Linked DNA regions of Saccharomyces cerevisiae S288C. The protein of the gene in region 1 interacts with the protein of each later gene in a pairwise test. Each region holds a gene or a part of one and is shown in the gene's direction. Other genes may lie near its edges.

Region 1 (3,538 bases):
AGGGCGTGAAAAGAAAAAGGAATACATTATTTCAAGTTCCTTTGATCTTTCCTATAATGTAGACTTTCTTGGCGCAAGACTTGGATGCATCATACAAAATACAAATTGTTAAGCAAAAAAGTGTCGCTCTGCTGTAAGCTTTGTGATGTTATATTTGATCGTATGGTGAGGAAAAACAATACACCTCATGTTATATAATGATCGTTGTTTTAGGTGAGATGTGGAAATAGAAGAGAGATTTTTAAACAAAAAGTAAATGGTTTTAAACGTTGGCAATAACAAGGCCTGCTCACAGCAAATAAAACGGGAATAGAACAGGAACGGGAATAGAACAAAGATAAGAAAATTGAAAGTAGAAAAGACAAATAGTGAGAAACAAAATGCAAGAGAAAATGCATCGCTTGAGCCCAATGTTCCTACCAATATTAAGGGGATTTCAGGTATCAAAGTCGCATTGACGTATAAAATACTCCAAAAAATGCGCTCTGTTTACTTTGTTATCTATGAAATGAGGAAAATGCAACCGGTGAGTGTAAAAGCATCCTGCAGGAATTTGTTACAACTTCATCTCAGTTACCAACATAGCCAACGGACGTCGATATTGTCCTTTACCCCACTGGTAGTGAAATACTTTCGAGTAAATGTCAGGACGTTAGAAATCATCCGAGTCATGCTTCGACTCCATGTATTTTTATTCTCTAAGTGTGCTTTGGAGTTTCCCCGCGAGTTCTCACAGAATTGGCTTTACTGCCAAAAGTTGAAGACAGCATAGTCATTGGCTTCGTCAAAAGATCTTCATTATTTAAAGCAAGCAATGATCAATTCTAAGACGGGTTAACAAAATATGGACAGAGCATCTTCAAGCAAAACTAATGCGGCAATGTTAAGCTTACATATATTCGAACGGTAATAACATCGATAATACGGTTATAGCCACCAACTCTGCATTATAGAAATGAGAAAAGCGCCATAGCTATTATTTAACGTAACTTACCAGAAGTCCTTGAGCAGACGATTGAGCATTGAATAAAAAATAAAATTCTTGTAATTCTTGGAAGGAAGAACGACACAAATAGATAAATGGCGTATTTTCTGAGCAATGAACTGTGTTCCATCAAAAACATTTTATCGCACACCATAGGCACTTAGAAAAACAAACCTTTGTGCCAGTATTTGAATGAAAACACTTTGGTTGAAATGTATTGTGAAATTAATCATCGAGCACTTTACGGTTGGCAACGACACATTACTGACGTTCTTTCGCCGATTTGTTACTTTAATATATTGTACAAAAATGCATCAAAGAACATAAAAGAGAGCGATCGCACAATCAAACTTCTTTTGGAAATAATCTGTCATCAATGCTCCAAACATTCTACTATCACCTGTTCATGATATTATGGGGAGAATATGCCAAATGTATATGACACATCGCATACTTTCTACCTTTTTCAACTGGCTTGCTTCCTCTACCTTTCACTAAAATCTGGATTGCATCTACATCTATATAGTCAAAACCGGCAAGAACAGAGATTATGATACATGCTTCATGTTCCATTGATTAGAATCCACTAGTATTAGCTCGCTGTTCAATTTTCAGCCCTCTACGGACTGTCGTCATTCCTAAAGGACGGCAAAATTTAAAAGTGAAGGTAAAATTTTTAAATTCGAAAAAAGAGCCTACTAACACGTTTCTATATAATACATAATTGTGTGAAAGTTCATACATAATTGAAAGCAAGCATCCAACCAGCCCAATATGTCTGATTTGTTACCACTAGCTACCTACAGTTTGAATGTTGAACCTTATACCCCGGTTCCAGCAATCGACGTCACGATGCCCATCACCGTTCGTATTACTATGGCTGCTTTGAACCCGGAAGCCATCGATGAAGAGAACAAACCATCGACTTTAAGAATTATCAAAAGAAACCCGGACTTTGAAGATGATGATTTTTTAGGTGGTGATTTTGATGAAGACGAAATAGACGAAGAATCCTCTGAGGAAGAAGAAGAGGAAAAAACCCAAAAGAAAAAGAAGAGTAAAGGCAAGAAGGCTGAAAGTGAAAGTGAGGATGATGAAGAAGACGATGACGAGGACGATGAGTTCCAAGAATCCGTCCTTTTGACTTTATCTCCGGAAGCCCAATACCAACAATCTTTGGACTTGACCATTACTCCAGAAGAAGAAGTCCAATTCATTGTCACTGGTTCTTACGCTATCTCCTTGAGCGGTAACTATGTTAAGCATCCATTTGATACTCCAATGGGAGTCGAAGGTGAAGACGAAGATGAAGACGCTGACATCTATGACAGTGAAGACTACGACTTGACCCCAGATGAGGATGAAATTATTGGCGACGACATGGACGACTTGGATGACGAAGAGGAAGAAGAAGTTCGTATTGAAGAAGTCCAAGAAGAAGATGAAGAAGATAATGATGGAGAAGAAGAACAAGAAGAAGAAGAAGAAGAAGAACAAAAAGAAGAAGTTAAGCCAGAACCTAAGAAAAGCAAAAAGGAAAAAAAGAGAAAGCACGAAGAGAAAGAAGAAGAAAAGAAAGCTAAAAAAGTAAAGAAGGTCGAATTCAAGAAGGACTTAGAGGAGGGTCCAACAAAACCCAAAAGCAAAAAGGAACAAGATAAGCATAAACCAAAGAGTAAGGTTTTGGAAGGCGGCATAGTAATCGAAGACCGTACTATCGGTGATGGCCCACAGGCTAAGAGAGGTGCCAGAGTAGGCATGAGGTACATTGGTAAGTTAAAGAACGGTAAAGTTTTCGACAAGAACACCAGCGGTAAACCATTTGCATTCAAACTTGGCCGTGGTGAAGTTATCAAAGGCTGGGACATTGGTGTTGCCGGTATGTCTGTTGGTGGCGAACGTAGAATCATCATTCCAGCACCATATGCCTACGGGAAGCAAGCTCTGCCAGGTATTCCTGCCAATTCCGAACTGACATTCGACGTTAAATTGGTTTCTATGAAAAACTAGTACACGCGCTCGTACGGATAGATGTTTATATATATTATTCTTTTTACATAATATTGTAACCTTCTGTATGTAAATCCGAAAACATTCTATTTCTTTTTAGTATCTATTGCTCTTTATAAGCTTTTCATTTTACTTTTCTCCGCGGATGATACAAATAAAGAAGCTGTGTTGTATAGAAAGAAATATATGGCGGCAAAAAAAGCGTTATCTTCTTTCTGTTCCTATTTCACTGAGTGCTACTGGATGGTCGTCAAGAAAGGTGAAGAAATCTTCAAAGCAATAAGAATTCAGACATTGACGTTAAATTAGATTATCGCCGCAGCTGTAATTGCGGTTATGGCCTCTAGTATTTAGTTCGATGTTAATGAAATAAAGCGCAAGCTGACTGTGAACGATAACCGCCAGGAAGGCTAGACACAGCTCTTCAGCTAAACAGTAGCCGGAACACATATACATTAGGGAACATTAGAAATAAGGCTCTCGTTGATCATCCTTGTAACTGAAAATTAGAACCGTTAAACGCTGCTGATTGATGGATTCCAG
Region 2 (4,890 bases), on another chromosome or scaffold:
TAGGTAATAATAACCCATACTTTCATTGTAGCAGTACTTTCGTTAATAAAATGGATATTGTTGTACTTCGGTAGATGTTATATTCTAAAGAGTTAAATTATCCAATTCCAAATTCTAGGGACGGTTTCCAAAGATTTGTATTGTCCAGTGACATAATTTTCACTAAAACATTGATCTGTTTAATAGGTTTGCTATAAATGCACAATAATTTTTCACCCATGATACCCAATTTCAAGAGAAGCAATTGCTACATATAATTATTTAGGCTTTACTATCTACTACTCATTGACTGTGCCCTTTTACACAATTATAACAAATATGTCAAAGCAGATGCCATGAACTTTGTATCTGAATTTTTGATTTCCTTTTAATTCTAATTGCAGACGACGTAAATATAGTTCTGAATTTCAAAGTCACTGTTAATTAATTGTTCTAATTGTTTGGTTTTTTTAATATAAATCACTAGTGCTTAAGTTCTGTTGACGCACACAGTACCTATCTTTGATTCCTTCGTGCAAACAGTATTCCGGCACGTTAATTGATACCAAAAAGATTTCAAAATCAGATGCTTCAAGACTAATTGTATACTTTATGTGACTTCTGGAGTTTAATTTGTTGTATTGATGAGATAATATTGTCTATTATATTGCCAATAACAACCAGCGCCAGGTGTACTAAGTCGAGATGACAGAAAATTTATAATAAGTGTAAATACAATAAATTTTGTAAATAAATAACTACTTCAATAGAAATCTCAAAGTCGAAGAAACACAGAACACAGAATGAAACTGGACTAAATGATTTTCAATAAAGGAAAAGCACGAAAAATTTTTTGAACTTTTTTGGGACAGCGTGGATCGTGTAATTACTGTATTGGGAAATTTACACGATTCTCGACAAATAAAGAAAAAGGCGCGTTTAAAGACTTACAAGCACACCTTTGAATTATTTTTGTTCTCTATGATTATCAAATGTGCTAGTGTTTGCAAGATGGTGCTTTTTTTTCTTTAGATTGCCACGTTTCTGCTCCTCTTTGTGGTTTTCTTTTTTTTTTTCAATCTTACTTATAAAATGAATATTTCAATTGATGAATAGCTATATATTGGATACAAAAATTAGCATTTAATCGAAAACTGCAGCATGTATTTAATCGAAAACTACAGCATGTAGCTATGATACGACAGAAGATTTTTGTTTTTATAGTTAAGTCAAGAAGAAATTCTATTTGTCCAGCAATCCGGCGCAAAGAAGACTACTAAAGGGTATTGAAAAATTTCTAGAACCAGAAATAATCGAAAGCATTACTTTTTTTGGCTCTATAAAGGAGTTCTGGACAGCTTGAACTTCCGAAGTCTGTCTGTTTAGCTCGTTAAGATAAATCTCAAAAGAGTAGCAAGCAGGTGGGAGGGATAATTTGGATTAAAGTGTATATATTGCGTATATATAGCCACGTAAACCTCACACTATTGAGTTTAAACATTTTTCACCTTACGTTATTATTCTTTTGTCTAATTTTAATCTCCTCCAGTATACTAAAACCGCAAAAGCGGGTTACCCAGCTTGTTTCTTTTTGTCTGAAAAATTTTTTGCGATGCCCATTATGAAAAATTGGCAATAATAGTATAGTAGTTAGTTTAAGTTTAGATTCTTTCAATACTCATTCTGCTTCAGTTTGTAGTTAGATTTAACTCAATAGAGGTGATTGGCAAAAATGGGTAAGACACAAAAGAAGAATAGTAAGGGACGTTTAGATAGATACTATTATCTAGCAAAGGAGAAAGGTTATCGTGCTCGTTCATCCTTTAAGATTATTCAGATTAATGAAAAGTATGGCCACTTCTTAGAAAAATCGAAGGTTGTTATTGATCTGTGTGCTGCTCCTGGTTCATGGTGTCAAGTTGCATCCAAACTCTGTCCTGTCAACTCCTTAATTATTGGTGTTGATATTGTTCCAATGAAGCCGATGCCCAATGTTATAACTTTTCAAAGTGATATTACAACAGAAGATTGTAGATCAAAATTGAGGGGTTATATGAAGACTTGGAAAGCTGATACAGTGTTGCATGATGGTGCTCCTAATGTTGGTTTGGGTTGGGTTCAGGATGCTTTCACCCAATCTCAATTAACCTTACAAGCTTTGAAGTTGGCCGTCGAAAATTTGGTGGTGAACGGTACTTTTGTTACTAAAATTTTCAGATCCAAGGATTATAATAAATTGATTTGGGTTTTCCAACAATTGTTTGAGAAAGTTGAAGCCACAAAACCACCCGCATCAAGAAATGTTTCTGCAGAAATTTTTGTAGTGTGTAAAGGTTTCAAGGCACCAAAGAGGCTGGACCCAAGATTACTGGATCCAAAAGAAGTTTTTGAAGAATTGCCAGATGGGCAACAGAATATGGAGTCCAAGATTTATAATCCCGAAAAAAAAGTTAGAAAAAGACAAGGTTATGAGGAAGGTGATAATTTACTGTATCATGAAACCTCAATTTTGGATTTTGTCAGGACGGAAGACCCAATAAGCATGCTTGGAGAAATGAATAAGTTTACAATTGATGAGAATGACCATGAATGGAAGATCTTGAAGAAATTGAAACAAACCACAGACGAGTTCCGTTCCTGTATTGAAGATTTAAAAGTCTTGGGTAAAAAGGATTTTAAAATGATCCTAAGATGGAGAAAGATTGCAAGGGAAATCTTGGGCATCGAAGTTAAGGACGACGCTAAAACAGAAATTGAAGTAGTACCGTTAACAGAAGAGGAGCAAATTGAAAAAGATTTGCAAGGTTTACAGGAGAAGCAGCGTCTAAATGTCAAGCGCGAAAGAAGAAGGAAGAACGAAATGAAGCAAAAGGAACTACAGAGAATGCAAATGAACATGATAACCCCCACTGATATTGGTATTGAAGCCGCAAGTTTGGGTAAAGAATCGTTGTTTAATTTGAAAACTGCAGAAAAGACTGGTATCTTGAACGACTTGGCGAAGGGTAAGAAAAGAATGATTTTTACAGACGATGAATTAGCCAAAGATAATGATATTTACATTGATGAAAACATCATGATCAAAGATAAGGATTCTGCCGCTGATGCGGACGATTTAGAAAGCGAGTTGAATGCCATGTATAGTGATTATAAAACTAGAAGGTCGGAAAGGGATGCCAAGTTTAGAGCTAAGCAAGCACGTGGTGGCGATAATGAGGAAGAATGGACCGGTTTTAATGAGGGAAGTCTAGAAAAGAAAGAAGAGGAAGGTAAAGATTATATCGAAGACAATGACGATGAAGGTGTCGAAGGAGACTCCGATGATGATGAAGCCATCACCAATTTGATTAGCAAATTGAAGGGACAAGAAGGTGATCACAAATTGAGTAGTAAGGCACGTATGATTTTCAATGATCCGATATTTAATAACGTTGAACCTGATTTGCCAGTAAATACCGTCAATGATGGCATAATGAGTTCCGAGTCTGTTGGTGATATTTCTAAATTAAATAAGAAAAGAAAACATGAAGAAATGCACCAGAAACAAGATGAAGCAGATTCTTCGGATGAGAGTTCAAGTGATGACTCCGATTTCGAAATTGTGGCCAACGATAATGCATCAGAAGAATTCGATTCTGATTATGATTCAGAGGAAGAAAAAAATCAAACAAAGAAAGAAAAGCATTCCAGAGACATTGATATTGCTACTGTTGAAGCCATGACTTTGGCACATCAGTTAGCATTGGGTCAGAAAAACAAGCATGATCTTGTTGATGAAGGTTTCAATAGATACACCTTCCGTGACACCGAAAATTTGCCAGATTGGTTTTTAGAAGATGAAAAGGAACATTCAAAGATAAATAAGCCGATTACTAAGGAGGCAGCGATGGCAATTAAAGAAAAAATAAAGGCAATGAACGCCCGTCCTATTAAGAAGGTTGCTGAAGCTAAGGCAAGAAAGAGGATGCGTGCCGTAGCTCGGTTAGAAAAGATCAAGAAGAAGGCGGGCTTGATTAACGATGATTCAGACAAGACAGAGAAGGACAAGGCTGAAGAAATTTCTAGATTGATGCGTAAGGTTACCAAAAAACCAAAGACCAAGCCAAAGGTTACTTTGGTTGTTGCCTCAGGTAGGAACAAAGGTTTGGCAGGTAGACCAAAGGGCGTTAAGGGTAAGTATAAGATGGTTGATGGTGTCATGAAGAATGAACAAAGAGCCCTAAGACGTATCGCAAAGAAGCATCACAAGAAAAAGTAGTAACAAAGAGCATTATTTTTCCATTCCCTTGTATAATATTGAAAATAAAGGAAAAGAAAGCAATAGATATATTATGTATACATAGAATTAATCAAATTATCATCAAAAAACTTATAGGAAACCTATCGTTTTGAATTCAGAAAATACGAGTGCACAGTAGAACAATTTTTATTCCCGTTTTACTGATCTTTTCTTCTTGTTGTTACCAAATACCTTGGAGAAAATGTATATGATGGAGATGAGTAAGCATAGTAACGTACCATTTTTGATCTTGGAATAATCCTTTGTGTCAGGCCTTGGAATTGGTACTAGAAGAGTTGTCGAGTTCAAATGGCGGAATGTAGTATCGTCTGTAAAGAGAGATTCATATCCTAGACCTTTTTTATAAAATGGATTACGGGAAACTTTATTGTCACCTGTGTCGCAGGCTAATATAACTTCTGGATCAAATGAAACTTCTAATTTATCCCCTTTATTATTAGAAGGCTCAATATATCTAGTATGCAATGTCACTTCATTCATTGTGCCGGCTTTCAATTCAAAGATACTTTCAGAACCCCATGCCTTATCTCGAAGAGAGTATTCTGGTAATTCTAAGTCGTCTTCTCCAAAAAGTAGTAAGGGAGAGGATTGGAATTTATCGATAAATAATT
Region 3 (3,733 bases), on another chromosome or scaffold:
CAATGATAAGAACAAGGTTAAGCTGCAAGGCTACAACCAAATTAAAGCCAGTTTCACTAAATCCTTAATGCTGACTGTTAAACAATTTGGTCACACTATGTTGGATATTAAGGATGAGAGTTATTTGGTTACCCCACCTCCATTGCATATTGAAGGTATTCTTGTCGCTTCTCCCTTTGTTGAATTGGAAGGAAAATCATATATCCAATCTTCGACAGGTCTACTTTGTGTTATTGAATTTTCAGGTAGAGGCTACTTTTCTGGTAAAAAGAATTCATTCAAGGCAAGAATTTACAAAGACTCTAAAGATAGCAAGGACAAGGAAAAGGCATTATACACAATATCAGGCCAATGGTCTGGCTCTTCTAAAATAATCAAGGCAAATAAGAAAGAAGAATCACGATTATTTTACGATGCTGCTAGAATCCCTGCTGAACATCTGAATGTCAAGCCTTTGGAGGAGCAACACCCACTGGAAAGTAGAAAAGCCTGGTACGACGTGGCTGGTGCCATCAAATTAGGCGATTTTAACTTAATTGCCAAAACGAAAACTGAATTGGAAGAAACGCAAAGAGAATTGAGAAAAGAGGAAGAAGCTAAAGGCATTAGCTGGCAAAGAAGATGGTTCAAAGATTTTGACTACTCTGTCACGCCCGAAGAAGGCGCCCTTGTACCTGAAAAGGATGACACTTTCTTAAAACTCGCCTCTGCTCTAAATTTATCAACGAAGAATGCTCCAAGTGGTACTTTGGTGGGTGACAAAGAAGACAGGAAGGAGGATCTTTCATCCATTCATTGGAGATTCCAAAGAGAGTTGTGGGACGAAGAAAAGGAAATTGTTTTGTAAGGAGAACGATAAAGTAACAACTTGTTACCGTTGCACTAATATATTATCTATCTTTTCTTCTTTTTCCTTCCTTTTTCTCTTCATGTGACAGGAAAGGATATGAAATCATTAGAGGAACTAAGAAATCATTTTTACCATCCCCTAAATCTTATATTGTTTTGTTCTCTTTTCACTATAATGACTAGAATTTATTCTTTCGAACCACAAGAATATGCTATATTGCTGTTAAAGATGAAGCAGAAAAAACCTTTATCTATTTCTACTTCTTCCTTTAATTATTGATAGACAGATCGCTCATTTTTTTCTCATGATGTCATATCCTTTTTAATCATCATACGAAGGTTAAAATTTGAAGTTTACCAAGTTTTCATGCAAGTTTTGTTATTATTTACAACCTATTACTATATTTTATCTTCTCTGTTGATATCCTCACTTTTGTCTTTTTTATAACTCTCTAATTTTCTTATGTCAATTTTGTAGAACCACATAATCGATGGAGTATATGCACTTATACAACACTTTCTATACAAAGTTTATGGTATATCCCAAAATCTGTACGCTTATCGAACCATAGGCCTGTTTTATCACTCCATAACAATGAAACACAAGAGGCTAACGCCAAGTACTAAAGTAATATTATCATAATATTGCGTATTACCTAACAGGTGTGCTCTGAGAGAATACAGTCATATTTGACGAAATTCTATAATTCCATCAAAAAATTTTCCGTGCCCGAGCTTTTTCACTTCTAAAAAAGAAAAGAGCAATAAAAATGCGATGGGGTCCTTACATTACAACTTATGCTATTAGTTCGGCTTTCTTGTGATCCATACCATCCTCACGTTAATGAATCATTTATTTAAAAATGGCTCCAACTAATCTAACCAAGAAACCATCTCAATACAAACAGTCTTCAAGAAAGGGTAAGAAAGCATGGAGAAAAAATATCGATTTATCTGACGTAGAACAATATATGGAAAAGAAAATTGATCATGAAATTACGCATGGTACCAGTGATATAACCTCTTTGCAAAATGATGCTCTTTTTCATGTTGATGTTGAGGGTGATGAGATATTGAAAAATAAATTAATTAAAAGGAAACAAATTAAGAAGGTTCTAAAAAGTAAAGAGATTTTAGACGCCGTTAAAACGAATTCAAAAATTGCAGCACTAAATCACCATAAGAATAGTAGTGGAAATCCTAATAAGATTCAAGGTGTTTCTAAACACGAATTAAAGAAATTAATGGCTTTGGCTGGCAGAGTACACGGCGAATCGAAGATCAAGAATAGAGTTGCCAAAGACGGTCTAGTTAAAACAACGGCTGGCGACTTATGGGGTGAAGAATCCAATTCAAAGAAACAGAAGGTCAAATTACCTTCCGGTATCAAACTTGATGTGGAAAAAAAGGACCAGATACCTGAAGAACTATTGAAAAAATCCACGACAAGTTGGTCTACTGCTTCAGTCAGACCAAGTACTTTAGATATAGAGCCAATTGCAGTAAAAGAATTCACAGAAATTCCACATGCTGGTAAATCCTACAATCCCAACAATAAAGCTTGGTCAGAATTGATAAACAAAGAGTATAAAGAGGAAAAGGCAAGAGAAGATGAAAGAATCGCCTTGGAAAAGTACAAAGAAAGAATTAGACATTTAATGGAAACTTTAGATGACAATGAAGAGGAAGAGTCTTCATCAAACGAAGAAGAAGAAGAAGAAGAAGAAGAAAATGAAAATGAAAATGAAAGTACGCAATGTAGTGGATCTGATAAGGAAATAAAACTATCAATAAATAAGCCTGTGAAGAATAAAAAGAAAACAAAATATCAAAGAAACAAGGCAAAGAGACATGAAGAGAAAGTAAAATTGCAACAAGAGTTGAAAGAATTGAGACAACGTGTTAAAGATTTAGAAGAAGTTATCAATTCTGAAGAGACTGAGATACTTTCAGCCATAGAGTCAGATAGCAACAAGGTTAAAAAAAGCAAGAAAAATAAGAAACACAAGTTAGGGACGAAATACTCTGTGATTGATGAAAGATTGGAGATTAAATTTTCTGACGAATTATCTGACTCATTGAGAAAACTGAAACCTGAAGGAAATCTGCTATATGATACTGTGAGAAAACTACAAAGTTCTGGTAAGGTCGAAACAAGAGTGCCCGTTAGGAAAGGTAGAAAGTATAAGCAGAAAATCACTGAAAAGTGGACACATAAGGACTTCAAATAGAGTTTTTTGTTTTACAGTATATGTTTCCATGAAAAGGTTGTCCTTGATACGTGGATTCATCAAGTGAGATATATATATATATGTTCATATTTGTGTTGGCAAGACCAACAACTGTATAGTAGGTAACAAATTGTTTCATTTTCTTTTCGTTCTCTGCCCTTTTCTAGTTTGAGAGGGCATTCCCATGTCGATATCTCTAGATATCAGTTAAACATTCAAAAGTACAAATTCAGTTACGGAAATAATATATAAATTATATTCGCTAAATAAAATCTCTCCCTTTCTAGGGTGTTTTCAAATAATTTCAAGCTTTTCCCGTAGCTTCGTCCTCTCATCTTCCCAACCTTTTACTCTTTCTAGTTTTCTCTCCAATTCCTCAATCTCGTTGTCAATCGACGTGATTGCTTCATCGGTACCAACTGCCTGTAATTGCCATTTGCCATCTCGATTTTCACCGATCTCTAGTAACATTTCATGATATTTGATTAATGTGGGTCTTTGTGATATGGAAATGAAATTGAATCTGTATCGTTTTAAAAGATTGAACAGATAGTCTTCCATGTCAACACTAATTGCGTTTGTAGCCTCATCTAATACTACGTATAGTGGTTTATGAAACATGATTCTAGCAAAATTTACTCTTTGCTTTTCAC

What was found.
Region 2: the proteins of FPR3 (region 1) and SPB1 interact in binary tests that used the Saccharomyces cerevisiae proteins (3 or more experiments, as listed by UniProt).
Region 3: the proteins of FPR3 (region 1) and NOP53 interact in binary tests that used the Saccharomyces cerevisiae proteins (3 or more experiments, as listed by UniProt).

What each region holds. Positions count from the first base shown.
Region 1 is NC_001145.3:119,546-123,083, reverse strand, and holds FPR3 (peptidylprolyl isomerase FPR3), read left to right. Parts: upstream 1-1,759; coding exon 1,760-2,995; downstream 2,996-3,538. UniProt on the Saccharomyces cerevisiae protein: Proline isomerase that belongs to an abundant class of enzymes that catalyze the cis-trans isomerization of X-Pro peptide bonds and can accelerate the refolding of proline-containing polypeptides. Specifically binds nuclear localization sequences.
Region 2 is NC_001135.5:29,738-34,627, forward strand, and holds SPB1 (27S pre-rRNA (guanosine2922-2'-O)-methyltransferase), read left to right. Parts: upstream 1-1,711; coding exon 1,712-4,237; downstream 4,238-4,890. Other genes in the region: RDT1 (Rdt1p), read left to right, coding at 1,173-1,259; PBN1 (Pbn1p), read right to left, coding at 4,406-4,890. UniProt on the Saccharomyces cerevisiae protein: Required for proper assembly of pre-ribosomal particles during the biogenesis of the 60S ribosomal subunit. Specifically methylates the guanosine in position 2922 of the 25S rRNA at the stage of 27S pre-rRNA maturation.
Region 3 is NC_001148.4:275,509-279,241, reverse strand, and holds NOP53 (Nop53p), read left to right. Parts: upstream 1-1,712; coding exon 1,713-3,080; downstream 3,081-3,733. Other genes in the region: oxysterol-binding protein KES1, read left to right, coding at 1-847; ATP-binding cassette long-chain fatty acid transporter PXA1, read right to left, coding at 3,375-3,733. UniProt on the Saccharomyces cerevisiae protein: Late-acting factor in the nuclear maturation of 60S ribosomal subunits, which is required for normal acquisition of export competence. Required for the export of the large subunit.